7 linked regions of the Xenopus tropicalis genome follow. Each later gene encodes a partner of the first gene's protein in a complex. Links are inferred from orthologs where the notes say so. Each region holds a gene or a part of one and is shown on either strand. Other genes may lie near its edges.

What was found.
Region 2: sart1 (region 1) and txnl4a share a complex: the UniProt entries of both Homo sapiens proteins name them as parts of the U4/U6-U5 tri-snRNP complex. The link is inferred for Xenopus tropicalis from reciprocal best matches to the Homo sapiens genes SART1 and TXNL4A.
Region 3: sart1 (region 1) and ppih share a complex: the UniProt entries of both Homo sapiens proteins name them as parts of the U4/U6-U5 tri-snRNP complex. The link is inferred for Xenopus tropicalis from reciprocal best matches to the Homo sapiens genes SART1 and PPIH.
Region 4: sart1 (region 1) and lsm2 share a complex: the UniProt entries of both Homo sapiens proteins name them as parts of the U4/U6-U5 tri-snRNP complex. The link is inferred for Xenopus tropicalis from reciprocal best matches to the Homo sapiens genes SART1 and LSM2.
Region 5: sart1 (region 1) and snrnp40 share a complex: the UniProt entries of both Homo sapiens proteins name them as parts of the U4/U6-U5 tri-snRNP complex. The link is inferred for Xenopus tropicalis from reciprocal best matches to the Homo sapiens genes SART1 and SNRNP40.
Region 6: sart1 (region 1) and lsm3 share a complex: the UniProt entries of both Homo sapiens proteins name them as parts of the U4/U6-U5 tri-snRNP complex. The link is inferred for Xenopus tropicalis from reciprocal best matches to the Homo sapiens genes SART1 and LSM3.
Region 7: sart1 (region 1) and lsm6 share a complex: the UniProt entries of both Homo sapiens proteins name them as parts of the U4/U6-U5 tri-snRNP complex. The link is inferred for Xenopus tropicalis from reciprocal best matches to the Homo sapiens genes SART1 and LSM6.

What each region holds. Positions count from the first base shown.
Region 1 is NC_030680.2:38,869,655-38,873,154, reverse strand, and holds part of sart1 (U4/U6.U5 tri-snRNP-associated protein 1), read right to left. Parts: intron 3,382-3,500; coding exon 3,255-3,381; intron 2,955-3,254; coding exon 2,849-2,954; intron 2,694-2,848; coding exon 2,619-2,693; intron 2,512-2,618; coding exon 2,415-2,511; intron 1,808-2,414; coding exon 1,662-1,807; intron 747-1,661; coding exon 540-746; intron 377-539; coding exon 258-376; intron 1-257. UniProt on the Homo sapiens protein: Plays a role in mRNA splicing as a component of the U4/U6-U5 tri-snRNP, one of the building blocks of the spliceosome. May also bind to DNA.
Region 2 is NC_030682.2:96,972,567-96,976,761, reverse strand, and holds the start of txnl4a (thioredoxin-like protein 4A), read right to left. Parts: upstream 2,801-4,195; 5' UTR 2,788-2,800; coding exon 2,635-2,787; intron 1-2,634. UniProt on the Homo sapiens protein: Plays a role in pre-mRNA splicing as component of the U5 snRNP and U4/U6-U5 tri-snRNP complexes that are involved in spliceosome assembly, and as component of the precatalytic spliceosome (spliceosome B complex).
Region 3 is NC_030683.2:94,758,872-94,763,053, forward strand, and holds the start of ppih (peptidyl-prolyl cis-trans isomerase H), read right to left. Parts: upstream 2,801-4,182; 5' UTR 2,798-2,800; coding exon 2,732-2,797; intron 1,856-2,731; coding exon 1,791-1,855; intron 537-1,790; coding exon 513-536; intron 1-512. UniProt on the Homo sapiens protein: PPIase that catalyzes the cis-trans isomerization of proline imidic peptide bonds in oligopeptides and may therefore assist protein folding. Participates in pre-mRNA splicing.
Region 4 is NC_030684.2:75,103,095-75,107,085, forward strand, and holds lsm2 (U6 snRNA-associated Sm-like protein LSm2), read right to left. Parts: upstream 2,801-3,991; 5' UTR 2,663-2,800; coding exon 2,660-2,662; intron 2,196-2,659; coding exon 2,128-2,195; intron 1,645-2,127; coding exon 1,614-1,644; intron 730-1,613; coding exon 670-729; intron 553-669; coding exon 427-552; 3' UTR 94-426; downstream 1-93. UniProt on the Homo sapiens protein: Plays a role in pre-mRNA splicing as component of the U4/U6-U5 tri-snRNP complex that is involved in spliceosome assembly, and as component of the precatalytic spliceosome (spliceosome B complex).
Region 5 is NC_030678.2:79,154,275-79,157,813, forward strand, and holds the end of snrnp40 (U5 small nuclear ribonucleoprotein 40 kDa protein), read left to right. Parts: intron 1-681; coding exon 682-847; intron 848-994; coding exon 995-1,117; intron 1,118-1,436; coding exon 1,437-1,557; intron 1,558-1,663; coding exon 1,664-1,746; intron 1,747-1,974; coding exon 1,975-2,036; intron 2,037-2,143; coding exon 2,144-2,247; intron 2,248-2,619; coding exon 2,620-2,669; 3' UTR 2,670-3,039; downstream 3,040-3,539. UniProt on the Homo sapiens protein: Required for pre-mRNA splicing as component of the activated spliceosome. Component of the U5 small nuclear ribonucleoprotein (snRNP) complex and the U4/U6-U5 tri-snRNP complex, building blocks of the spliceosome.
Region 6 is NC_030680.2:132,918,360-132,922,407, reverse strand, and holds the start of lsm3 (U6 snRNA-associated Sm-like protein LSm3), read left to right. Parts: upstream 1-1,248; 5' UTR 1,249-1,261; coding exon 1,262-1,282; intron 1,283-4,048. Other genes in the region: xpc (DNA repair protein complementing XP-C cells), read right to left, coding at 482-566. UniProt on the Homo sapiens protein: Plays a role in pre-mRNA splicing as component of the U4/U6-U5 tri-snRNP complex that is involved in spliceosome assembly, and as component of the precatalytic spliceosome (spliceosome B complex).
Region 7 is NC_030677.2:58,334,625-58,338,913, forward strand, and holds the start of lsm6 (U6 snRNA-associated Sm-like protein LSm6), read right to left. Parts: upstream 2,801-4,289; 5' UTR 2,714-2,800; exon of another isoform or gene 2,537-2,713; intron 1,130-2,536; exon of another isoform or gene 943-1,129; intron 349-942; 5' UTR 334-348; coding exon 240-333; intron 1-239. UniProt on the Homo sapiens protein: Plays a role in pre-mRNA splicing as component of the U4/U6-U5 tri-snRNP complex that is involved in spliceosome assembly, and as component of the precatalytic spliceosome (spliceosome B complex).

The sequences.
Region 1 (3,500 bases):
GCTTTTTTAGGTTTTAGTTATAATTTACTTTAACACAGGTCTAGAACCCTATGACCATAAGATGCACCTTCATCTAAACCATCTAGCTTAGTGTGTCAAACCATGGTGTGAAATTACCTCCATATTGGGTAGCCTCAGTTTGACTGTTAACTGAATTTTTATAATTAAAAAAACAGTGATGAATACATGTTTTACTCTGAGGCTACACTTACTATTTTATTACTATTAACAAAAGATATAGCAATTGTGCCCGTCACCTTGATCCAAAGTCAGTTTCTCTGGTATCATGATTAATGTTTAGAAGGTCATCAGCCCGAACAACCTTCTCTCTCTTACGAATCTTTTTCACTCGTCGCTTTGTTTTTTTAAAGGAGACCTGTGAACAAAAGAAACATATAAGGGAGTTTAAGTAACTTAAGTCACTGAATAATCAGAGAATAAAAATGCCCACTTAAATAAACATTTATAATTTTTTTCATAAAGACGCTTAAGTCATAACTAACATATCGATCCATCTAGCTCTTCTAAGACAAACATACCATCTCCTCGGGAGTGTAGTACTCCGAAGCAAGTTTAGATTGTGGAAGTTCCAGAGTATGAGCTTGGCTGTGCAAAGATTCCCGAATATTCTGTAGTTCCTTCTCCCAGGACCCATCAGCAACTCCTCCAGACTCCAGTTGAAATGACTTTTTCTTCTCTCCCTCTATCTCCTCATCATACTTGGAAAGAACTGATTTGGGGCGGAACTAGAGAAGAGACATTTAAGCCAAAAAAAAAGTTAATTGCACCAAAAGTCCTCATAAATCTAAAAAATAATTCTAGAAATCAAATACAAAAAGGTTTTGTCAATCATGACTATTCCACAGTTTTCTATAGCAAGAATAACACCACTGAGGGTAGATTTACTTCATTATATTTATTTAGTATCATTTTCCTGTTCTGGTTTTTCACATCCTGTCGCTAAAAATGCTGTCTGGTTGATAGGATTACTGATCCCAGCAAGAAATAACAGATGGACTGTGGGATTTTATGGTTTTTATTTTCTATTACTTTAAATTCTAAGCAAAAACAATTAAAGGACACTAAAGTAAACAAGTGGGTAAAATAAAAATTCGATTTACAATTTATTTTCATTTACTCTACAATTATTTTGTCTTTACCATACTAAAAACTAATTTATGAAACAAACATATTTGCTGCAATGTTGTTCAGTACAGGCTAAGAACTACTAAGCCAAAGTGAAAAATATGTCTGATTAATTAAGCTTCTCTGTTCGCACAGACAACCTTATTCTCAAATCATTTAGTAGCAGATACTGGTTGTTCACTCAGGAAAGCTTCATGGGTTTTAAGAGTCAGATAAAAGTTAAATTATTTAAAAAACAAAATAAACACATCCTACAAGAGAAAGATTTGACTAGGGTCTGCACTAGTTATATCTAACTTATATGGACTTATTATTTCCTTATACCACAGTAAATCTAGACATCCACTGGCTACTTGTGCCTCATACTGTAAGCATGAACAGTTTCTATGTTGATGTCCATAAACCATAGTCTGTATCTTCATCAATGCTGCTAATAAAAATTCTGTTAAACATAAAAATTACTGTATGCAGTCTTAGTGCCCTTTAGAATCAGGCTTGTAAGATAATGCACTTACAACTGCCATGTCCTCCACATTTTCCTCCTCTTCATATGGTTTGTATTCAGGCTTTTTCTTCTTCAACTCCACATTTTTCTCAGCCTTCTCTTTATCCACTAAGTTTACATTAACTAGAACATCTGCGTCATCTTCATCTAAGACACCTGTAAAAGAAATATTTTTATATACTGCTGGGCATTTAGAATAAAACAAACCAATATACATCTGTATGAAAAGTGATAGTAGGTTGGGTGGACTGTCAATTAGGCATTAATGGCTGTGTACCAGGCAACAATGATCTCAACAGGGTCTCCCAGCTGTTTATCAGCAAATAGCAATCCAGCATATTCAGTCCACATAAGGGTCCCCAAGACCCTGTCAAATTTCCCTTGCCCCCCGGTCTTATGTTAGTTTAAGAGTATCGTACACCAGCTGCCTCCAAAAAGTGAGTGAGCCTGAAAAATCATCCAGATATCCATCAGAAAGCTTTGAAAATCCCAATACACACCACCCTGGCACACTGATGTGGTTCTTGTCCGGTGGCCCAAAGTCCTAGTATTTCCCATTTGCTGGCAGATTTGATGAAACTGATATCCGTGCTACTAAGCATGGGACGGTAAGGAGCAGACTGGAGTTTCCTGTGTCTGATAAAATGCCACATGTGCATTGGCCTTACTAAACTAATTACAGGAGAGGTATTGAGCATGAAAGCAAAACTATACTCCATTACTGCTTTTTCATTAAGAACAAGATTTGGAAAAACAAACGCACCTTTGTCCTTTAAAGTGAGAATGACAGTCTGTCCTTCTTTGAAAGCATTAATTTTGTGTTCCACAGTGAGTCCCTGAAGATCACGGGAACTGTAATGCTGTAATACACAAAAATTAACATGTAGCACGTATGAAAATAAAAGCTACACAAAAAGTTCAACAAAAAAGTGCAGACAAAAACATAAATTGATTTTACATCACCTACCTTCTTTTGACCAAATTCTTCTTCCACAAGATTAGAAACGCCAAACTCTTCGTCCATTTCAGCAAGAAGTTTTGCCTGAGACGAAAAAAAATGTAACTGAAAAGCACAGTATTTCAAATATTAAGAATGGCAATCAAACTTAAAATAATTAAACAATGTTAAACTGCAACGGAACTTTTTAGATTTAAAGTCAGTCAACTCATCATGATAAGAATATTAACAGTACTCACCCTCTTCTCAGCTATTTCCTTTTCCATCTGAAGCTTACGGCTTTTTTCAATCCAGGCAGCTGTGTCATCTAACCATAGCTCATCATCTCCCAGAGATTTGATTTTACTATAGAAATTACAAGTGAAGAGTATGAACTGCTCTGTATAATGTACTGTTACATTTCCCACAGTCCCCAAAATATGATTTACAGTTGCACTGATAGCTGGTTATGTACCCACACGCCCTGTAGCCAAATGAAAACCTGAACAGGAGCCTGAAGCAAACTTGGCAGTATGATCACTACAATGCATTCAGAGAGGCAGAAAAGCATTCCCAACATGTATTTTACCACAGCTAGCACATACCCATTCTTTTGAGGTTTTGACTTATTTTTATCACTTTAGGTCCGCACCACTCTCCTCTTACCCTAATTTCTGATTCAGCAATCTCTTCTCTTTTGCAGCAGCTAACTTCTCTCTAAGTTCTTGTTGCTGTTTTAGTGCAATAGGATTAATGACAGAAGCAGCTACAGGATCTTCTTTAGTGCCGCTCTCTGCACATGTTAAACAGAATAAATGTTTGCACATTTTCACAATAAAGAAAAAAAGCATTATATAAATAAAAAATGGTAAAGTAAGATACCGACATTTGTTAACTTTGTAAATTAGCGCT
Region 2 (4,195 bases), on another chromosome or scaffold:
TTGGAGCAAGGTAGAATAGATTTTTTACTTTAGTACTTACTTTTTTTTTTACTTTTAGTGTTACTTTTCCTTTAATCATTTTTAGAAGCAATCAGATTAATCAGTGGTTTTCATCCAAACAGACCCCCCCCAAGGATAAATAAAATAAAAGTGATTGACTTCTGAGGATTAGAGTGTTTATTTATGTGTGTTGTGAGCATTACACAACAGCAGAGCTGCTAAGTTCTCTGGAAGCAATGCCACCAAGGGTTGTTGGCCAATCAGAGGCAAACAAAACTAACAGCATAAAGTGTGATTGCAAACAAAAGTTGTAAATGCCATCGCCACTGGACTTCAGAACAGTGGAAACACATTCTCTGGAGTGCTAAATGGCGGTTAAATACAGCTTGACACAGTTCCCCAGAAAGAAATTCAAAACTCTCAATACAACTGTATAACATTTTTACAGTTATATTTATTAAAGGGTGAGTTTTTATACAATGATAACTAATAACTAAAATGTTAACTAATCTCTAAAAATCCAAAAATAAATAAAAGAGCTGTGAAGGAGAAGATAAAAACACTGTAGTGAAGGAATACAGCACTGTACAGTCTGACTGGTAAATGTTAAAACATAACTTGTAGGAATAAAATACAAATCATACTCCCCCCCCCCCCCCCCCTTAAAAAAGATCCTTCAATCACATGGATAACTTTCTTTCACAGGCAACAGATATTAACCAAATAATGCAGCTAACTGTGCTGTCACTCAGCATCTGCCTTCATCATGACCTAGCAGGCTAATATTTCATACCAACACTGATGTAAGAACAGTCTTAAAAAAGCATAAAATATTTTGTAACTTAAAAAACAGCAACAGCCAAAAGCTTAGATACAGACAGAACACAAGTCAGCATAACAGAAATGCATATATGATGCACCATTTATCACTCGGAGCATGATCTAGCCATGTGGTAATGCACTAAGCACCTAGCTTATCTCTGCACCAGAAGAAATACCTTCAAAACAGCAGTTACGGCACCATAGATGAGGTAACAAGAAACACCATAATCAATAAACAATTTCCACACACTTAAAGGGGAATTAAACACCCCAAAAAGCAAAATACTGTACAACTGCTCAGAATACTCTTCTCAGCACTTTTACTATTTACACTGAACATTTTAAGATATAAGCACTTTGCAATAATAATATAATTTATTTGAAACCACACAGCTCCCTACTGTTCTGATCAGCTGGCCATCATAAAATGATGTTACTGAGTTACTCAGTAGGCAATATCATTGACCAAGGAAACCTCTCTGCTCAGTAACTACCTTAACAGAGCACTGCAGTTTTAAATTCATTATATCAGTGTACATTATAAAAGTGCTCAGAAGAGCATACTACCAATTTTACATTAATTTCTTTTGGGGTGTTTAGGTCCACTTTAACATTTATATTTTTATGTTCTAACTAAAAATGTAGGCAAATACCAAAATAGATATATAGTAATAACATACTTCATCACAAGATATTCGATTAATGGGCCCAGTCCTGTGATCTTCAATCACCCCAGACAGTAGACCTCGAACGCAAATACAGCAAGGCAGTGTATGTGCTTTGGGATGCCTGTGAAATAACACAGAATATACAGAATCTCGCCTTTTCTATGTTTTTTCTTTATTTCCAAACATGAAAATACTTAATCTTTGAGGTTCCATATGTAGAATCATTAGCACTCACACAACATTGGCCAAATTTGCCTTTGGGCAGTTACCCATAGCAACCAATCCATGATTGGCTTTTTCAGCTAACTGCATTTAGAACAATGAATGCAACAACTTGATTGGTTGCCATGAGTTACTATTCAAGAGCAAAGTTGCCCAGTGTTGATAAATGACCCCCACCGTTCTCAGAAAACATATGAACAAATATTCCAAGGGGCCTCAACCTACACAGCACCCTTACTTGATGGAATGATGTCACAATTTTTGCTCTTCTACCCCTCTCTCTAAACTAAGGCTCCCTGTAATGATCACCAACTAAACTGGTAAAAGAAATGATCCCCTTTTTATATAGAATAATTTACCACTAGAGCATTTCCTAGTTATTTTCTCTTAAATTTGCAAATGTATTTGAGTCGTGCATTAGCCTTTACTTTCTTCATCCTAAGTTCAAGCTGAATATGCTCCATACTCTGTTTAAAAGCGGCATCACCATAACCCTCTGTCTCCTGGTTGTGACTTTAGATCAACATGTTTCCTGTAGAGCTCCATTTTCTTATTTACACTGCTATTTGGTTAGTAGGGGTGTTGACCAAAGTAACCAGTCAGTGGTTCCAGTCACTGGCTTGAAGATAAATAGGAGAAGGCCTGAATCTATATTAATATGTATGAAAAAGACCCACTCCTGCCAAACCATTTTTAACTATGCCTTGAACCAGCTAGAGAAATCACACATGTGGGGGGTCCCCACCACTTATGTCCCCAAAGGGGGGGGCAGCTGCTGGAGGAATGCTTAGAGGCAGGTGTAGGGGATAAGGCGGCAGGCCCATACATACAGGCATCTGGACCTTCTACCTGCCTGAACCTTTTTTAATCCAAACCCACCTGACCTGCAGGTCTTCGATACACTGCTATAAATATATCTTACCTTTTCAGCTATACTGTACAAAACTTCATCCATCTTCATACAAGTTGGATCCCAGTCATGGCCAAAACGTATAACTAAAACTCTGTCTTCCTCAGACAAGATTGCCTGGTCGACCTGCCAGCCATTGTGCAAATGAGGAAGCATGTACGACATTTTGGCAGCTTTGCTTTAAAGCTAAAAGGACAAGAAAAGAAGTATTGCAAGAAATGAAACACTTTTCTCAAATGCGTGAAGATACAAACATACTCCCATCTACACTGACAGGCTAACATGCTAATACTTTCAATTAAAAATTATCTGGGCAAATTTTAAATATTTTTAATGGTTAAAGAGTCCGAAGTATCCCCCAAGATTATAGTTTACAGATGAGGATACAAATTGTAGCGTAATGCTGCTCGTAACAATCCGACATGAATCTGGGAAATGTGGGGCTGCAGTAGAGGCAGGGGGATTGCCTGAAGGCCACTTTGGGTGAGTATTGGTGCAAATTCATGTGAATCAATAGCAAGCTCCTGAGTTATACCAACAAGCTGCCCCAAAGCCTTATATATATATATATATATAGGCTACATACCACCCAACTGTGCTGATTTAACTAATACAGTCCGCAGTCCCGTACGGTTGTTTAAAAGTCTTGCGGTGCTGTTGCCGTGTAGCCCCTCGCTTCCTGCCGTACAGCGAGCCAACGCACCGCAAGTCTCATCTCGCGAGAAGGTGACGTCACATCAATACTATAAACGTGGTTACGCAGCACGTAGCTGCCTTGAGGCCAATGTCAAAGGAAGATGGAACTTGAGTTGAACATGTGCTGTTTCTTTTCTTTATATGCACAGCCCAGTAGCTGCAGCTAGAGCCTATGCCCCAACAGAACCTTTAAATTAACTAGATTAGACTAGACTATTTAAATTTAAATAGATTTAGCTTATGCCAGGCACAGGGAACAGAGAAATAAGGCTTTTAAGTTCCTGGTTGTGGTCATACCCCCCCAACTGTCCCGCTTTTTACGGCGCATCCCGCTGTCCCGGATAGTTCCATGAATGTCCCGCATTGCGGGACATTCATGGAACTATCCGGCACAGCGGGATGCGCTTGCTGTAGCCAGATGTTCTTGCTTCTTCTGCGGCTTCGTTATGCCTCTCCTTGTGCAGCGCGACAGGCCCTTTTATAAGGTTGCGCCTGTGGGTGTGACGTCATTACGCACGGAGCGCAACCTTATAAAAGGGCCTGTCGCGCTGCACAAGGAGAGGCATAACAAAGCCGCAGACGAAGGCTGCGCCTATGGGAGGTACTGTGTATTGGGGGGGGTACTGTGTATTGGGGCACTGTGTATGGGAGACTATTGTGTATGGGGGCACTGTGTATGGGGGGGCAAAACTGGTACTTAGTTATAACTCACTTATAACTGACTGCCTTCTCTCTATATTTGTATTTTAATGTAGGAGTTGCTATATTGTTTTCCTTAGGTCGTTCAGTATGAGGGTATAGCACATTTTCATCTGCGCCCGCCATTTGATCTATATAAAAGGGGTATTTTTTTAAAAATGGGGTGCAGTAATTGGGG
Region 3 (4,182 bases), on another chromosome or scaffold:
GTAGAATTGCTATTGTTTCTACCTCTATATCCGATGATTCAGCCCTGAACGTCAATGGAGGGTATAAATAAACTCAGAACTAATTTGCAAATGCAATCTGCAGTAAATATTCTACTACCCTTAAAGCAGATGTCAGTATTACAGCACAGGTGCTAAAAATATCTGCGGTGCACTATTTAATATTTTAAAACAGTTATTGTCTTTCCTGTCAGGAAAGCTGCCATATTGCTTATTACGTTTAATTTCAATGTACTATTTTGAGTATTAGTTGATCTACAGAAAAAGTATTGTTGCTATTATATTCATAATCCCCCACCAAGCAGCCAATGGACAGTTTAGCTTCTTGCAGAATTTGCTACACAATGAATGAAAACAGAGAAGCACTGAAGCCAGTTTCTTAGAACTTAACTATGAGGATTTGTGGAAACAATTGTGCTTCAACATTTATTCCAGTCTACTCCCATTACTTAGATCAAACCCCCGATCGGGGCAAAAGAAGTACAGATACAAACCTAAATTCGCCAGTACAGAATTGCCTGAAATGAGAAATAAAGAATTATTTACAATTAGCAGATACTTTACCTAACGTAATCTGTTTGCACAACAATGCATTCCTGCATAGCACATAATGCATTAGTCTACAACAACTTCTTTTTGATATCAGAAATAGCCCCTTAGACTGATGCCACATGGGTTGATTCTGGCATCAGCTTTAAGCATCAGAAATGGGAAATTCATGAATTTACTTTATCCTCCATTTACTTTTACTTCTAAACACTAAAACTAAATCTCCTTCAGTGCAGGTGACAAATGCCCAAAGTTTCCTTACAACCAGCATTGATGTAAATTGCTGGTGAGAATATTAATGCCTGTGGGAAGGGACCTTTGGATGGTTTGAAAAAAAGAAACAAGGGGTGTAAAGTAGTGCTGTCAAATTCTTTTAGATGCAGAGGGCTGTATATTAAAGAACTTAGTTGTGATGAGAGAAACAAAACAGAAAGGAACTCTATGTGGATAATATATTATTAGTATAATTGTAAAGCTTTAAGCTATTTAAAAACTGTTTGCTAGATATAATACAGGTATAGGAACCATTATTTAGAAGTCCATTATCCAGAAAAATCAGAATTACAGGGAAAGCCATCTTCTATAAACTCCATTATAATCAAGTAAATCAAATGATATAAAGTGATTTCCCTTTTCTCTGTAATAATAAAACAGCACCTTGCACTTGATTCTAACTAAGATATAATTAATCCCTATTGAAGGCAAAACAATCCTATCAGTACTGTCTATTTTGTAGGCTCGACAGATAGCTGGCACATGGGGAGATGAGTCGCCCGCGGCAAAACTCCCTGTTCGCGGGCGACTAATCTCCCCGAGTTGCCTTCCCCTGCCATCCCATCGGCGACAATGTAAGCCGGCGGTGGGATGGCAGACGCGGCGAGGCGATTTCGGCAAATCGCCGAAAAAGACTCGCAAGTCTTTTTCAGCGATTTGCGCGAAATCGCGCCGCCGCATCTGCCATCCCGCCGGCGACTTACATGTTCGCCGGTGGGATGGCAGGGGAAGGCAACTCGGGGAGATTAGTCGCCCGCGAACAGGGAGTTTTGCCGCGGGCGACTAATCTCCCCGTGTGCCAGAGCCCTTAGTCTTACTGATCTAGTGAGACTAAAATAATGACAGCAAACATCTGATTGGTTGCTTTGGGTTATGGGCAGTTGCAAACTTTGTCAGTGTTGCTATATAACTACTCCAGAGTTTTGACAGCAAAAGTCATGCAACTTCACCTGAAGTTCTCTGCAGTTTTTGGTACAATATCTGCAAAAAGTTCCACCTTCATCCGGCCCACCTCCTGAAAAAGTAAATGGACATTAAATTAGTTTTTTTTGTGAAAAGACAATTAGCACATTGGTATTACAGTCATCATACCCTTCATGTTTTCCCAGAATATATGCCTTTCTTCACAGTTACACACAAGCAAACTAATTTGAAGTTGAATAGCATAAAATATAGCAATTACAAAACTTTAAAAGCTTACAAAATTAGGCCACCCAATGTTTTTAATATTCTGTATAACTTTAATTTAAATAAATGCAGAATAAATAGGTATAGCAACAGTTTGCTTGAAAGAACAACTTTTTCAAAGACACGGAATGGACAAATTAGCCCTCATGTTGACACATTTTCCAAAATGTCTAGTTTCCATGTTGACTTTTTTCCATACATTCTAAGGATAATATTCAGAGCTTTCCAAGATGATCTTTTTTCCCCTAATTGGTTTGATCAGCCGTCTGGTGGCTTTACAAGTTTTGTTTTGGGCTCTCTTTTGGGGTTCACGCCCAGTCTTCCTTGGGGGCAGGGTTCATGAATTGGGATGCCATGAGAATTTTAGAGTTCATATTTAGGGATTTTCTCAGGGCTTAGAGTGCATGTTTAGGACCATCAGTAAAGTTTTAGGGTTTAGAGATCGGAAAGAACAGTGGGGCCCATACACGTGGAATACAATTTAAATACATAATAATTTCTGCTATGAATATAAAAATCTGTCCTTCAGTCACAGTACACACTTAGCCTTCTTGCTAATACTACACTACACCATGCAGCCCCATTTGCTCAGCTGCAGTTTGTAGGTGGTGTTGCATGGCGAGATTCTTCTCAGTACGTAAGTATGGAATCATCATTTAATGCAGGGCTTTCTCAATGTATTATACTTAACACCGCGTGTTACCTGCCCCCCGATACTGATATCGAAGAATACGATGGGATTGTTAGCGTTGGAAGCCGGTACCGCCATTTCTATCTGGGGCAAAACCGGAAGAGAAGAGGCGGCGCTTCAATCCCAGAAGCGGCTTGCTTGTAGGCTGTATGCGCAGGCGCAGTGCATTGTTTTACACGCTTTATTCGCATGAAGTTGGTGGGCGATGCGATATGCCTGCGCTTCTAACCTTGCAGGGGATTATGGGAGAGTGGCAATAGCAGTACGTTTACGCGTGACTAAACCTGATTTACTCATTGACATATAAGCAGTACAGAGGTTTAGTTTTGGATGGAGTGGAGTTGTAGCATTCACATGTTCCGTGCAATTAAATTTATTTCTGTTGAAGCTATCCATATCTGTAAATATCCATGCTGTCTGCCTTGCTCTCACATCAAGCAGTGCTAATACAAGCGCCTCAGCGCTCCACACCGGAAACGTCTTTTTTTTTAGTTCCTATTTCAATGTGGCCTGATCACAGCCGTGATGCTGTGTGGGCGAGAGTGCGTTTATAACAGAGCTCTGCTTCTGTGTGGGTGTATGTGTGTATTTATGCAGTAGGTAGAATTATGGTTACCTGTGGCTGCTGCACATAGGGAACACACCAAATCCCCTCTGTATTCTGTGAGGAGAAGGGAGGTTTTATTGTTTGTATATCACTTCCCATAAAATCTCCCTCTCCACTGGCAGCTTTGTTGCTGTTTGGCCTTCAAAACTATTCCATAAATTCAAAGTACAGGGAAATCAGGTTTCCCAAGAAACTGATATGGGTATGAAACCTGGGCCCTAACAAATAAATTGACTGGGGAATAAAGTATATCTAAAACCTAAAAAGTTAATATAAATTTGTCAGTGTCCTCTTCTAGTCACATTTGCATTTTACATCAATTATTTTTTAAAGCTTTTAATCTGCTTATAAACAGCGCCGCCTACTGGTCAGCTCTTACAACCATACAGCTGAGTGAGTATACATTGAGAAGGAAAACAGATAACTGTTCTGATGTTAAGGTCCCCATACACAAGGCGATTTCACTCGTTGTGCGACGAACTATTATATCGACAAACGATCGTATGGCGACCGGGTTTCCATACGATATGCCATCCACAGGCAACGATAATTTGCAATTTTTACAATCGTACATCTACGTACGATCCAATGTCGTGGCGGAAGCGGTATTTATTTATTTATGTTCGTTGACTTCCGCTGCTGGCAATCATGACATGCGCAGAGAACAATCGTTCGAAGACAAATGTCTGACACTCACACCAACTGGCAGATTTTATCATTAAACGACTAAAATTTTTAAACCTGGCCGATCGATTTTGGGGACAATAATGTCGGGTCGATTAGTGGGCCGACGATCGTTCGCACACCATCAACTATACGATAACTTAACGATAGTATCGGATCGTTCGGGAATCGG
Region 4 (3,991 bases), on another chromosome or scaffold:
TTAAACCAGTAAAAATCATATTACGACAAAATTAAGAAAGGCAGATACAAACAGAAGGAACTAGCTTCACTAAAAAAAAAAAAAAACATGAGCTGATGACTTAACACAAAATTTATTTAAGTAAAAAAAAAAAAAAGTTAGGGCAGTCTTTCCCAATTAACTCTGCTTATCTGAGACCACTTCTTTGCAGAGCAAAATGCATTGCTTGGATTCTAAAGTGAACACACAAGTCACTGCACTTAAAAAAGTTTCCAGAACTAGGATGAGAAAAAAAAGTGTGGGTCTCTTACAGAAATGTAATGCAAAACCTGTATAACAGGTAACAAGTTGCTGCTCACTCCTATATTTGGCCTTATAGAAATATAGGCAGTTGACAACACCTAGTGCTGCTTGTGAACCTGCTTCCATCCTTCTAGCTCTTGTACATCACTGCTTTTGCTGTACAGCTTCTTTCCGTGCAGCGTCCTGGAGAAGCTGAGTGTCTACTTCATCAGCAGGGAGCTGTACATAGCGGACCACAGATCCCCGAATGAAACAATTCTTTACAGACAACTAAAAAAAAAATTTTTTAAATAATTACATTAACAAGTGTTTCAAAGCAGGATTAAAAGCTAAGTATCTAGTTTACTGGTGCAGATAAAAAATACAAAGAAAAAAAAAAAAGCTTACCATGTGTGGATATTTTTCTGGGTCTGTTACACTGATATCAGTCAGCTTAATGTTCAAATACTATAAAAAAAAAAAAAAGTGAAATCTTGTTTGAGATAATGAAAAACACAAGTTCCCCCCAAAAGTTCTATTCCAAGACATATTCCTCTATGCAGAATGCAAAAGATGATGTAGCACACTGATCACACATTAAATAAAGTGATTTATTGGCTTAATTAGCAGACATCTACTGGGAACATTTCAGCCAGTCTGAGAGTGACCCAAAACATTGCAAGAGTCGGTGCAACTTAATGCAACCACAATAACGGATCAGTGTGCTACAGCATCTTTGACCCTGGGCAGGTGGGTCTACAGACTGTTTAGCACCAGACACCTGAAAAGGTACTACGATAACAGGTAGAGCAGAGATATTCCTCTATGCAAACAAGCCCTCTAGGGTATAAAAAAAAAAAAATATGAGCAATATTCTCTTTGGAGAATCTTGTAGTAATTATGTTAATAAATATTCCCTGGTTTGACATTATACTCTGCAGGATGCGTACATTTTATTAAAGGCTCTGTCCCTTCAGGGGTTGTTCACCTTTGAATGAACTTTTAGTATGATGTGGACAGTGATAATTGGAGACAATTTGCAACTAGTCTTCATTATCGCAGTCTTTAATTAAATTTAGCTTTTTTTATTGCAGCTCTCCATTTTGGAATTGTAGGCGCTATCTGATTGCTAGGGTTTAATTTAACCTAGCGTTGTGGAAATTTCAGTAATGGTAAAGTCATTTAAAAGAAAATTTTCACTTTTTCATTTTTTTTTTGCCAACCCAACATTTTTCCCTGGCACTGAAAGATTTTATGCCAATTTCAGTTGCAAGGCTTAAGTGACAACATGGCTGAGCTGATAATTATGCTGAGAAAATAAACTACATTTATATATTTGCTCAGTTACTTACCTGATCAACTGAGTGTAGAGTACCACAGATACTGCAAGAGATAAGACCATTTATGTAATAGTGCAACAAAAGGCTAAATGGATGAAAGATGGCTAAATGGTAAAGAAGTGGTTATTTAAGGGTGTGAAGTCTACAGGAGCACAAGAAAATGTTTTTATAAATTCTGTCTACACAATACACTCTGCCCTCTAAAGTTTGACAATGGTCAGGGGGACTCTAAGTGCTGCTGCACCCACCGTGCTTACCTCTTTTGTGTTGGGCACATCACAAGTGCAGAAAGCACAACTGCACACACTGCACTAGGTTTAAGGGCTGTGACACACAGGGAGATTAGTCGACACGCAACAAGAAAGATTTGTTGCGCGGCGACTAATGTCCCCGTGTGTCACATCCCTTAAAGTACAGAAATTAGGTTCTTGAAATGTACCAGTGGCAGCTTTTTGCCTGACTGTATAGCATGTGGGGGGGGGGGGGGGGAAGCAATTCTAGAAAGAACATGGGGCAAAACACTCACCTCAGATCATTCTTCAGCTCTACCACCACATCCTTTCCTACAAGAGACTTGAAGAAGGAGTAGAATAGCTGTACATGATAAAAACAAGTAGTTATAAAAACCAGTTGCCTCTCCTGTAGCTTACCCAAGGCACATCACATAACAAATGTTGCCAAGATCCTTTACAGATCAAGGCAAAGCATGTTCTCTCATAAGACACAAACAATAACAGAGACAGACAAGTTGTTCTGTCCAACTAACATCAGGTTACAAATGATTGAAATGTTGTTGCAAAGCAGGGATGGCCAAATTCGAGCCCTCCCACTGCTATAAGACTACAAATCCCAGAATCCTGGTATAGGCAAAACATGGAACGTCAAAGCAGGGCATGGCCACTCAGAAAGCTGACCTTGCGACTATAGGGGGGGGGGACTGATTGCCAAACAGGTCTGTATACGCTGGTACACCACAAAATACATGGCTATCGACTCCTTAGGTTCTACCCTACAAAACGTGAAACAGTAACGGAACGCTAGTGTTCTTAAGCGGTTACCATTGCTTCTGTTGCAGTCGCACCACCCAAGCTCTATCTGGAAACTGAAGAACAAAACAGACGCCGCTGACAACGACAGATCTACACACCAAATGCCTTCCGCTCATTCACCGCTCTAGCGCCTCTGCATAAATCTCGCGAGAATTTAAAGCAGCAGGAATTTGCGCGCCGGCTTCAGGCACCGGCCGAATGAATGGGTCCCACGGTGATGACGCAATCATGATCTCGCGAGGACAGAAAACATTTTTTTCATGTAACTTTCTTGAGAAGTCCCCTAAACGTATTTTATCCCTGAACAACTAAAATACGTTAAAAAAAATACAGGTTTTATAAACTGGGAGCAGGTACTAAGTGTAACAAAGTATAGATTAGTTTATGAAACAGTAGAATAAAAATGAACTATATTAAGGTTAGGCACTCCACATTAGATCTGTAATGTCCAACCTTAAAATGTTTTTTTATTTTATTGTTTCTTCTGCCAGCAGAATTCTAACCTAGGGCCAAACTAGCGACAGTCAGACAAGAATCAGATTTATCTCTCCTTGTTCTTTGGATCCCTTTTTTGTATTTTTTTAATCCCTAACCTTTGGTTTGTCACTTGCCCACCTCCTGCCCTTTTTGAGCTTCTGCTCAGAGAAAATGTCCCTTGTACCAGTTTATTAAACAACTTTGGATTCCAGGTGTAACTACAGAGGCTGGAACTGCATTCTGACCCACAAACACAAACTATCAGTTCTTGCACAACAAACATCAATTGTAATGTTAAGGACCAATAATTACCAACTCCAGGTACAAGGCATGAGGGTTACGAGATAGCTAAAAGGAGTTACGCTGTCCATACCTGGGCTAGTTACTGTTAAAGGAGACATATCCTATAAAAATTATGAATGTGCCAGTGAATTATACTCCTCTAGATATAGAAGGAATGTGCTTAAAAAAGTTGTATTTCAGACAGATTTATTGAGAAATTCCCCCAAAACCCCACTAGTCCCCCCCATCTGCTCCACTTCCTGCTGGCTGAATTCTCTGGATGAGCTGGGGAGCCAGCGGCCCTCTATACACTGCACTGTAGGATAGGAACCAATCAGCAGCTAGGCTGACCTGATAGGGAACTGAAGCCTGTCTTTGCTTGTGTGAGTGCAGGTCTGTGATTGGCTCTCCCCCTCCTACTGTGCTTCTTGCAGGGACCGTTAGGACACGCCCACTCTTCATTTCAAACATGGTCAGAGAAGAGAGAGGATCTATAGGGAGCTCCAATAAAGGGGCCATTTTTACAAATAGGATTAATGTTTAGCCCAAAGGGAAACCAGCACCGTATATTATTCATAATTG
Region 5 (3,539 bases), on another chromosome or scaffold:
TATGTAATAAAAAAAAACTCTTAAAGGGATGTTTAGTTTTAATTGTGACTTGTTCAACTGTACTTTGTAAAATCAGCATATCTTCAGTTCAGATTCTTTGATTATCTTTTTTTATTAAATGGATCCTGAATGTAATCATGTACATGCTCCTCTAGTTCTGTCTCATCCAGGGGTGGAGGGGAATTACTTATAGAGAATGTAGTTTTGTTTTTTTTGTTTTTTTTTATCAGAGTAAGGCATTCAGTGGGCATATATGTAATGGTCAAAACATTTTACCCTCTAAAACGAAAACGGTGTTATTCTACCAGTAAGGACACGGTGCTAGTAACAGAGTGTTGAAACTGATACACTACATAAAAGTATTTTATCAGTGATTTGACATTGGATTGGGTTCTGTTTGGCAAGGGAATCATTATATATGTTCCAGTCAGTAAACTCTGGTATATTGAGCAATTAATTTGGAATTTTCTGCTTTCTTAGGAATGCATGCATCAGGCCATTTCGAAGCTTACTGCAGTGCACTTGCTATTTTTATACCAGTGACATGATAGCTTCATGTTACCTTCTACCACAGAGAAGTAGGCAGCTGTAATACGTACTAAGCTTAAATTTCAAGGAAAACTGTGTTTTTCATGTTTTAAATTGATATGTTGATAACAGAGTCCCTACATTTTCTTTCAGTCTGCTATTCTCTGCATCAACTGATAAAACTGTTGCTATTTGGGACTGTGAAACAGGCGAAAGAGTAAAGAGGTTAAAGGGACATACATCATTTGTAAATTCATGTTACCCGGCAAGGAGGGGACCGCAGTTAATATGCACAGGGAGTGATGATGGCACAGTAAAGGTTGGTAATATTTATGATCTGTTGATGTTTGGGTAATCCTTGTTAATTGGTTATAAATATATAATAATGGGGAAGAAAAGGAAATAAACAAGTAGGAAAGGTGAATAACTACCAGAATGCATAACTGTGCTAATTGTTATCTTATAGCTGTGGGACTTCAGGAAAAAGGCTGCAGTACAGACCTTCCAAAATACATACCAGGTACTATCTGTCACATTCAATGACACCAGTGACCAGATCATCTCAGGAGGCATTGACAATGACATCAAGGCAAGTAAACACAAAGGTGATTAGCACTTACTTGCTAAAGCAGTGCTGACCAGACCAAGCATATTTAGGAATTGCATGTAAAGAAGCAGCAAGTATTCTGGCATAGCCCTGTATACTGCAAACATTGTTTCATTTTTACGAAGTGATATGTTATAGGACCAGCCATGAAATGAGGCAGTTTTCAGATCTTATCTTTTGCCAATATCAGCTCTGTCATGTAAAGTTTGCTTCATGTTATTGAATTACAGCATGGTTCATAAAAGTGAAAAGGGTTGTTATAAAATGTCGTTTTTTGGGGGGTTTTTTTGTTTGTTTTTAGGTATGGGACCTGCGACAGAACAAGCTTATGTACACAATGAGAGGTCATGGTGACTCTGTGACAGGGCTTAGCCTTAGTTCTGAGGGCTCCTATCTTCTGTCCAATGCTATGGACAACACAGGTGAGTATTCTTATGCCCTTTTAAAATCACAAGACAAAACACACATGGAGGTGTTGCTGAATTGATTCAATAGCCAGTGAGTTTACTTCTTTGTTCTATTTTGCAGTACGTGTTTGGGATGTTCGTCCTTTTGCCCCAAAAGAGAGATGTGTGAAGATATTTCAAGGAAATGTGCACAATTTTGAAAAGGTCTGTATTTTGCAATATATCCAGATATATAACGTTTTTCTTTTCGATTCTTTGTATTGGGGAAAAATAGATGCCACTTCATATGGATTAGTTCCTTATCGCAATAGCTCACATTGAAGGACCTTGCACCTTCCCCTACCTAATTCAGATGATCATTACATATTTATTTTTCAATTAAAAAAAAAAAAAAAAAAAAAAAAGTAATGGTTTATATTCTTTCCTTAACAGAACCTGTTACGTTGCTCCTGGTCTGCTGATGGAAGCAAAATAGCTGCAGGATCAGCAGACAGGTATAACTGTTGTCTTTGGTTTAAATATTGCTTTGCCTCTGAGGTCTTTGTTTAATTTGCATAGAATGTTTATGTTTATGTTTTTTTTTTTTTTTTATTTTATTAAGATTTGTTTATGTTTGGGATACTACATCACGTCGAATTCTTTACAAACTTCCTGGTCATGCTGGGTCTGTAAATGAGGTAGCTTTTCACCCTGAGGAGCCAATTAGTAAGTCTCTCTTGTTAACTACTTTTCTCTTAATAAAACTTTCAAAGCAGAAAAGATGCCTTTTTTTTTAATAAGCTTTGTCATTTAACCGTTATTTAAATACACAATAAAACTTAATGCCATATGATAGTGTGTGAGGGGCAGGGGTCATTTTATCCAAAGCTTTATTTGTATAGGTGTGATATCCCATAGTTATAAATTCATTTAGTCTTAGACTAAGAAATCCTTGTTGTCTTATGGTCATTTTTGTGAAAATTATGACGTATTGATTTATAAATTCTTTGCTAGTGCAATGTTTATTTAAGGAAAATTGTTTTATCTGTATTAGCTTAATTTGCTCTGATTTAATTGTAACCACCTTTTCTGTTTCAGTTCTTTCTGCCGCTAGTGACAAAAGATTGTATATGGGGGAGATCCAGTGATTCACCCAGTGCACACAGATCATGGAAAGCCCAAGCTTTTGACAAGCCCCACTTATCTTTAAAAAATCCTTTGGTTCTCAGAGACTTACAACAGTGTGTATGCTAGTCTGCTCTGGTTTACTGGACTTTTTTTTTTTTAAGACATGGACTTCTGACATGCTTGTCTAAGACCTTCGGCATCCCTGTGCTAATATAAGCTCTTTCTGGGGCTTTGTTTCTGATTTTTTTTTTTTTTTTTTTTTTCTGCCCCACTACCCTGGGTATCAAAAACCTATAGACATCCCTTATCACACCAATTTATTCATTGTGGCTTGATATGAACTCTGTATATCCTGTGTGTTTATTTTATATGATAAACTGTTTTTTATTATAGTTTTGTTGTTTATTTAAATCTAGAAAGAATATTCAACATATTCCGATAGATGCTGTCTCCTGTGTTGAGATTGTGTGTTTTGGTTAATACAGATTTTTACCAATTTTTTTTATTTGTATATACAGGCACTGGGAGCATCAAGAGTAGACTATGGGTCTGGTTTTCAGTAAAGACCAGTGGTTATCTATAGGGATGCAACAAACCCACTTTTTTGGCTTTGGCCGAACCCACCCTGAGGGATTCTGCCAAAACCCGAACTGAATCCTAATTAGCATATGCTAATTAGGATCGGGAAGGGTTAAAAGTTGGTGCGTGTGGCGAAAAAATTTTCCCTAAAGAAATTTAACCCTTTCCGAATGCTAATTAGGATTCAGTTCGGCTGGGACCATGGATTTGGTATTAAGTTCCTTGGTAAACTTTCTACCATCTTTTTGTGTATGCTGCCAATATTTTAACTTCTTTATTATAATACCTTATAACTTAATGAGCTCAGTTGG
Region 6 (4,048 bases), about 94 Mb from region 1:
ATGTTCCACCAGAGCCCAAAGCATTGGTAGTTAATCATTTAGCACAGAAATAAAAGCCCATGCACAATTCAAGGGCTAACTCTGCCTATCTTTTAATATTGTCCAGATGGCATAATACTAACACAATCTGCAACTGGTCTTTATTTTTTATTTCATCTGGTCTCTGAATTATGTTGTCAAGGTTTGTATTTAATTTATCTGGTTTCTAGGGGTTACCTTAGCAATCATAGAAGAATCTTAAAACCAGTATAGTGAATAGTACAGGGCTGATGCCCATAGGGTTCAATCTGCACTCACTACAGTATTATTCCCAGCCTATTTAGAAACTCTGCACAGTGTCCCCATACAGTACCTATAAGAATTAAGTCTATTTAAGTCTGTGAATTAAGTCTGTGTTTAGATTTCATTTTACGTGTTACTGTATATCATTCACAAGATGAATGAAAATCTCTATAGACATGCAGACCCCATAGAAACTCACCACCATGCAGGGAGTCTATTGCCGGGCGGTTTCTCTGCTTGTTCCCCGCTACCGCAGCACCCTCAGACCCCCTCCGCTTTGCCATCTCCCCACAATTCTACCTCACATGTCCCCTCTGGTTGTATAACCCACACAACAGGAAACAATCTGTCTCAGACAATAACATTAACGCGTCACTTCCGGAACATACACATGTGCACCCCGCTGCCAGGCCTCCGCCACTTACTGCCCATACTCTCACATTATTGGCTGAGCTTCACATTCCGGCCTCCGACACTTACTGCCCATACTCTCACATTATTGGCTGAGCTTCACATTCCGGCCTCCGTCACTTACTGCCCATACTCTTACGCTATTGGCCGAGCTTCACATCCAGGCCTCCGCCTCTTACTGCCCATACTCTCACACTATTGGCTGAGCTACACATTCCGGCCTCCGTCACTTACTGCCCATACTCTCACGCTATTGGCCAAGCGTCACATCCAGGCCTCCGCCACTTACTGCCCATACTCTTACGCTATTGGCCGAGCTTCACATCCAGGCCTCCGCCTCTTACTGCCCATACTCTCACACTATTGGCTGAGCTACACATTCCGGCCTCCGTCACTTACTGCCCATACTCTCACGCTATTGGCCAAGCGTCACATCCAGGCCTCCGCCACTTACTGCCCATACTCTCACGCTATTGGCCGAGCTTCACATTCTTCCTGTGGCACATAAATATCGCGATAGGAGAATTGTCAGGGTTCTCGGCTATTTCCTTTGCGCGGGGTTTTGAAGATGGCGGACGACGGAGAGCAGGTAGGGATGTGGGTTTATAAGACTGGAAAACAGGTTCTGTTCGGTTCTCGGCGCAGTGCGGCATAAGGGGTGCTCCTGGCCCGGTCTCGCTTGGGAACGCGTATAGGGTTTTTTTATGTTGCGGGGAATTAAGTGAATGTTTATTCAAACTGGACTGTTTTCTCTTTTATTTCAAAGCCTTTTTTTTTTTTTAATCGTGAAGCACCGGTGGAGTGTGTTTATATTCATAACTAGCGATGTAAATCTGATTAAAAACCCAGTTGTTGTGGTCAGGAGTAAAATGAAATGTATGTTCTGTGTGGCTGATGGCGTCAATATATTCAAACAATAGAAGCACAAGGCTTGTTTTAGTTTCTATACCTCAGATTTCTGAGTTTATCTCCCAATTGACTCTTGACTCCTGTTTTTTAGGGACACATCCTATAAAATTTAAGAATATACTAGTGAATTATACTCCTAGATATAGGATTGTGCTTAAAAAAAAAAAAAGTTGTTTCGGACTGATTTGAGAATCCCCCCAAACCCCACTAGCCCCGCCCATCTGTTCCACTTCCTGCTGGCTGAATTCTCTGGATGTGCAGGGGAGCCGGGGCACTCTAAGATAGGAACCAATCAGCAGCTAGGCTGACCTGATAGGGAACTGAAGCCTGTCTGTGCTTTTGTGAGTGCAGGGCTGTGATTGGCTCTCCCCCTCCTACTGTTCTTCTAGCAGGGACCGTTAGGACACGCCCACCCCTCATTTGAAACACAGACAGGGACCTGAGAGGATCTATAGGGAGCTCCAATAAAGGGGCCATTGTTACAGATAGGGTTAATGTTTAGCCCAAAATGAAACCAGCACCGGATATTATTCATAATTGCCTACAAAATGAGGGGTTTTCCCATTTATCCAACATGTCTCCTAATTTACTAATGTGTCAATCCATGTTGATTGGAAGAACACAACATACATTTCATCACTGCCAAAGCTCAGCAGTTTGAAAGCTGTATGGAGGTGGTGCATGTTTTTGGGAGCAAACTAAATAACTACTGGCTAGGCAGCTGGTTCACTACCCTATTGGCTGCCCAAGCGGGTCTAAATCTATAACCTAAGTCTGTCATTTTGGCTTTTTATTAAAGACACCACAAGCATTCCTTAAATCTAAAGTTCAAACAAGACAAAAAATGAAAACTGTAAGGTTTTAATAGCTCAGGTTACAAAACAAAAACTGTAGTACCGTGTTAGCCAGTGTCAAAAATAATAATAAAAAAACAACAAGACACAAATACAAGAGTATTGTACTTCACACTAGTGAAACTACACTCTGGGCTTTATTTATAATTAAAATACAAATAGTACAGTTACATTAAAGGTATAGTGCTAAGTGTCCTAGACAAGAGGAAGGAGGTCCCTGCCCCACAGACCTTACAATCCCATGCAGGGGAGAAAAGAAATGCTATTTGGTAACTGTAGATCAAATCTGACTGCTCAAAACAATAAAGGTGCCCATACACAAGCAGATTTTGTCATGTGAAACAACCAGTTTTAAGGTGGCCATACATGGGCTGATTCTAGCTGCCGATATCAGTCCCTTAGACCAATTCGGCAGCTTATTGGCCGTGTATGGGCATTAACGACAGGCCTGCCCAACTGACATCGGGCAGATCTCGATCAGGCAGGTTTAAAAATCAGTCTGATCGGGGACTGCATTGGCTCGTTAATGCAGTCCCCAAACAGACAGACGCCTATGGCCGTCGTCCTAATTCGGACATTTGACCCTGGGGCCAAACGACCGAATTAGCCTGATATTGCCCACCCATAGATGGGGATATTGGGAGAAGATCCGCTTGCTTGGTGACTTCGCAAAGCGAGTGGATCTTAGCGTGTAAGGCCACCTTTACAGTGAACCAATAAAATTTGCTTTATTATTAACTTATTGTTACATTCAGGGGGAAACGATTGTAAAATATACGATCATTTCAACTGCATTGTCCCAACATTTGATCAGATGGGCTTGACCGTTTTTGTCATTAAATCAGTCAGTGGATGAGAGGAACAGATCACAATCATTAGATTAACATTCCCTGCACAAGTCTTTATTTTGATGGGCTAGGTTAAGTGCAAAAGTAAACAATGGAACAGACGGGCATTGGCTAATATATGTTCTTGGAGCCAGCACAACAAAGATATGACAAGTCTTCTCATATATTGACAAATGATCAAGCAAGCTTGAGTTTAGTTGCCTGAGGACCTGCTGCCCTTCACACTTCCCCCCCCCCCCCCCCCCAAAGGTCCTGTGGATGCTGAGTTACTAAACTCATGCAAATACTCTGTACCCCTGCAAGCACTGACACTTGATTGTGTGGCTTAAAAGACTGCTATTGCTAAATATTTGCAACTTATTCACTGGAATATAGAATCAGAAGTGCCATTACTCGTTTAAAGGAAATGTAAACCTTCGAAAGACATGGGGGGGAAAAAAGTCAACTGCAAAAGTGCTCTGAATAGAGTGCTGGGCAGTTTTGAGACTGTTTTCTTGGGTTTACATTTCCTTGAAAGTACTTTTTATAATATCATAATTATAAGGAGGCTAATATATCACGGCACCATCTGCAAAAGAAAGGGGACCAGAATTTGTGGTAAAAGCAGATGATTATTACTTTGCAGCTAAGGGGTTAAACAATATACAGGCAACTCTTATGTATCCAGCAAAAACAGTTTTAAGATAGAGGCAGAAACACAGGACTAGGTTTAAACTGAAAACTATAAATTGAATCATACTAAAA
Region 7 (4,289 bases), on another chromosome or scaffold:
AAGAATACGACCCAAACGTAACCCTGATTTGCATATTTAAATTTAAGCAGCATCTGTGGGAAAATGTATTGCTTTGGAATGTGCAAACTTTGAAGTGAGGGAAAATACGTATTATAACATGGACATGAAACAGAGCCAGAATGAATTTGTAAAAATACATTTTTCATAATCCTCATTCCAAATGTTGATAAAAGATAGATATAAAAGGAATTCAGGTTGCCTTTTACTTTAAGCTTTACCTCGATAATCGACTCCAGAGTTGAGCTTTACAACCACTGGTCTTCCAATAATCTGCTTTAAGAAGTCACTCGGTGTTTGTTTGCGCAGGCTCATTCTAATTCCCTTTCACTGTAAAGAAAGGTTTCAAGACAAAATAATTCTCTTATTGTTATATAGTGCCAACATATTCCTCAGTGCTTTACAGATATTATATATTATTCACATTTTCAGACCAGCATTTTTATATCAGTTGCAGTTGGTCATTATTGTCAGTTTGATGATTTAACAGCACAGATTAGTGCATTAGAACTGGCAAATCTGCACTATGATATGGTATACAAATAGACTGCCGCTTTGGTCCAGAATTCACAGCAAACATTGTGGAGTATAAGTCCTATTTTAAAGAATATAAACTCTACAAACACTAAACTCTAAAAGAAGCAGGCTAGAAATGTTAAACTTTAGTTTTCTATTAAACTATTCCACCAAATTTAACCAACAGCAATGACAATCCATTCGCCTGCAGTTGGTTAGAAATATCTTCGTCTTAACTAGCCTTTAAAAGGAAAGCCAGGAAAGCACTATAAGAGATGTGTTCTAAAAAATCAGAAGACAAAGCAGTTAAAACAGGGTTAAATCACAGCTAACTGGAGGCTCTGTATTCCTCAGTGTCTACAGCAGAATAAGGAGTGGGCACTATTGATGTGCGGGCTGGCCCAATACCTGCAGGTCAGGCCGACCTTGGCACATCACCTGCGGGTCGCGGGTGGGCTTCGGGTTGAGTGCTTCCGGTCAGCCTCCATGACCGAGACCTAACAATGCTGATATTCCGATTCCAGCTTGGGAATTTATAGGTGCGCGCCCGACATGCCCCACCCCTTCGTGATGTCATTGCGGGGAGGGTCGGGAGTAGGTCTATAAATAAAGGGAAGAAGCTGGGTCGGGTAGGGTTGGGAGCAGGCGGGTTAAGATTGGGTATTTCTGTGTTGGTAAAAGTTTCATGTTTGCTTCAGTAAGACTATATAGTTTATATAAATAAGCTGTTGTGTAGCCATGGGGGCAGCCATTCAAGCTAGAAAAAAGGAGAAAAGGCACAGGTTACATAACAGATGCACGCTTTAGAATGGTACAATGGTAATCTACACAATTTATCTGTTATCTGCTATGTAACCTGTGTCTTTTCTTCTTATTTTCAATTTGTACAGCTACCCCCATGGTTACACAGCAGCTTTGTTTATATAAACTATATTCGGGTTTCTGAAGGAAACACACAATGTTTACCAGTGTAGGGCACTAGTACATTATATTTTAATTACTTTTATATGCTTTCATTTTTTGTGTTACTGTTCCGAGGATTTATGTACCGACTCCACAGTCCTCAAATTCCCTGATATATTATTGTATTTATCAAAGGTTTTTATTCAGTGTCTCTTATCATTTCTAAGAAATACTGTGCTTCCTCAGCCTAAACGTTTCCTACTACAGGTATAGGACCAGTTATCCAGAATGCTAGCGACCAAGGGTATTCCGGATAAGGGGTCTTTCTGTAACGTGGATCTTCATACCTTAAGTCTACTTAAAAAAACAATAAAACATTAATTAAACCCAATAGGATTGTTTTGTATCCAATAAGGATTAATTATATCTTAGTTGGGATCAAATACAAGGTACTGTTTTATTATTACAGAGAAAAAGGGAATCAATTTAAAAAATCTGAATTATTTGATTAAAATGGAGTCTATGGGAGAGGGGCTTTCCGTAATTCGGAGCTTTCTGGATAATGGGTCTCCGGATAAAGGATCCCATACCTGTACAAACATATCCACCATGGTGTCTGTCAGCAGTCTGATACAAATGTGACTCATGCTGGTATCAGCCAATTAGAGCAGAGGAAATCTGTCAGTGACAGCCTCAAGCATGTTGGTTACTGCCAGAATAAAATATTAAGTGGAAAAGCTCACTGATAACATAGATATATTAGGGCTTACATACATTAGGGCTAGAGCCCAACACTGACACACTGTAGCTGGGCTTAAACTTACAAATGATTCTAAATCTATAAGTAAGAAGCTCCATCCCTCTGATGTAGCAGGGAGATCTATACAGCCCCTGTGAGAGGAGCTCTCATGTACTTGGCACTGAGCCCCTCTAGTACAGCCTGCTGGTAATCAGTATATTGCTCAGGAATTACAATACCCACCTGCCGGGAGCAATACAAATATGTATCAAGAAAAGGGTGCCTGTAGCAAATCTACTTCGAAACATTATAGCTGAACAATACATAATACAATCCCAATGTAATGCAGCGGCCACACACCTGGGATGAACTACAACTCCCAGAATTCGCTTCGCATAGACACCGCGGGAGCCACACATTTAGGTTAATTATTGTTGTTACCTACTTTTCTCTGAACGTAATGAGCACTAACCATACTAGATGGTGTGCATCAATGCAAATACTACAGGCGGCCATAAGCCACCCTGTAATTCTCACCCTGTATCCCGTGCGATGCCTTTTCTCCCGCCTCTCTCCTTCCTACCCCTTTTTACGGTGTCCGTCTCAGGACAATCCAAAAACAAGCGAAAGCCGTGTGCGCCGTACGGAAGTAAATCGGGTTCCTGAATGAGGCACCGCCTACCGGGGGTCAAAAGGGGACGATGACGTTAACACGGGAAATGATGCGTCCAATCAGGGCGAGAGGCGGCGCTGTGGCTCCTCTGCACCTCTTGTATGTAGTAATGGCTGGGATATCCTGTATGTTTCATGGCTTTGAATCCCTGCACCATGCCATTATAAGTCATTCTAGTAAAGAAACCTCGCCTCCAACTTTAAAAACGTGTTCTGATTCAGCATTACTCTTACTTGCTAAACGTAATACATTTCTTTGAGTTGACGCAAATGTATACGTATTTTTATTTTACATATATTTATTTTTGTATCTATTTTATACAGGCACATGCACTTTACTTATGGTAAGCTACTTTGATTTTCTGAAACTTCCCATATAATCCTTTCTGATTGAAGGGTCAGTTTACTTTAATCAGCCACACAAAATGTCACTAGCATCAAAAATGATTACTAATACTGATAAGCTGTGTGTGGCATGACATTATTCAATTGGAGCCTGGTATTATTCATCTGAAATCTTTACTGATTCATTACCTGCTGTACACCATGTATTTGCAAATATCCTTATTAAAGTGGTGAATGTCATGGCACCTAATGGTCCCTGTACACGGGCCAATTCTAGCAGCTAATCAGCCCGTGTATGGGCACTACCGATGGGCCTGCCCGACCAATATCTGGCCTGAAATTGGGCCAGATATCGATCGGGCAGGTTAAAAAATCTAGTTGGATCGGGGACCGTATCAGCTCGTTGATGCGGTCCCTGGAACGACTTCACCTATACCCGTCTTTATAATGCGATCGTTTGGCCCCAGGGAATTAGCCTGGATTCTCCCCATATCGCCCACACGTAGGTGGGGGATATTGGGAGAAGATCTGCTCGCTTGGCGACATCACCAAGCGAGCGGATCTGAAGGTGTGTGGGCACCTTAAGAAATATATGTGCAGTCACCAAGAGGCCAGTGACTGACACCAAATTGGAAATCCTGCAAATTGTTTATAAGCATGGTGTGGGGGAAGCTCACTCACTCCTCTAAATTGTCACTTTATACCTGTCTTTATTGCTGTTTAGGTCTTCTCTGCTTATAACTATAAACAATTATACAATATTTTTTTTTTTTTGTTTTCATTCATTTGGTAATTGCTGGGTAACTAGCTTTCACATCCAGAACTTGAATCTGCCCTGCAACTGCCATGAACCCACCCATGCAAACATAGGGGATGAGGAGACGCTCTGTGAGCGTAACTGTTTAAGATTCCTCGGAAGGAATTAAAATGTACAAAAATGAAAATAACTAATATGATATGCAAATAAATGAATTAATTAATTTAATAGCTAGCCAAATAAGCAAAGAATAAGCGAACTTGGCAGCTAAATAAATAATCTGCTCACCAACTTGTATTTAGAAATATGAAAGTAAGGTAAATACCAAGTAATCAATTT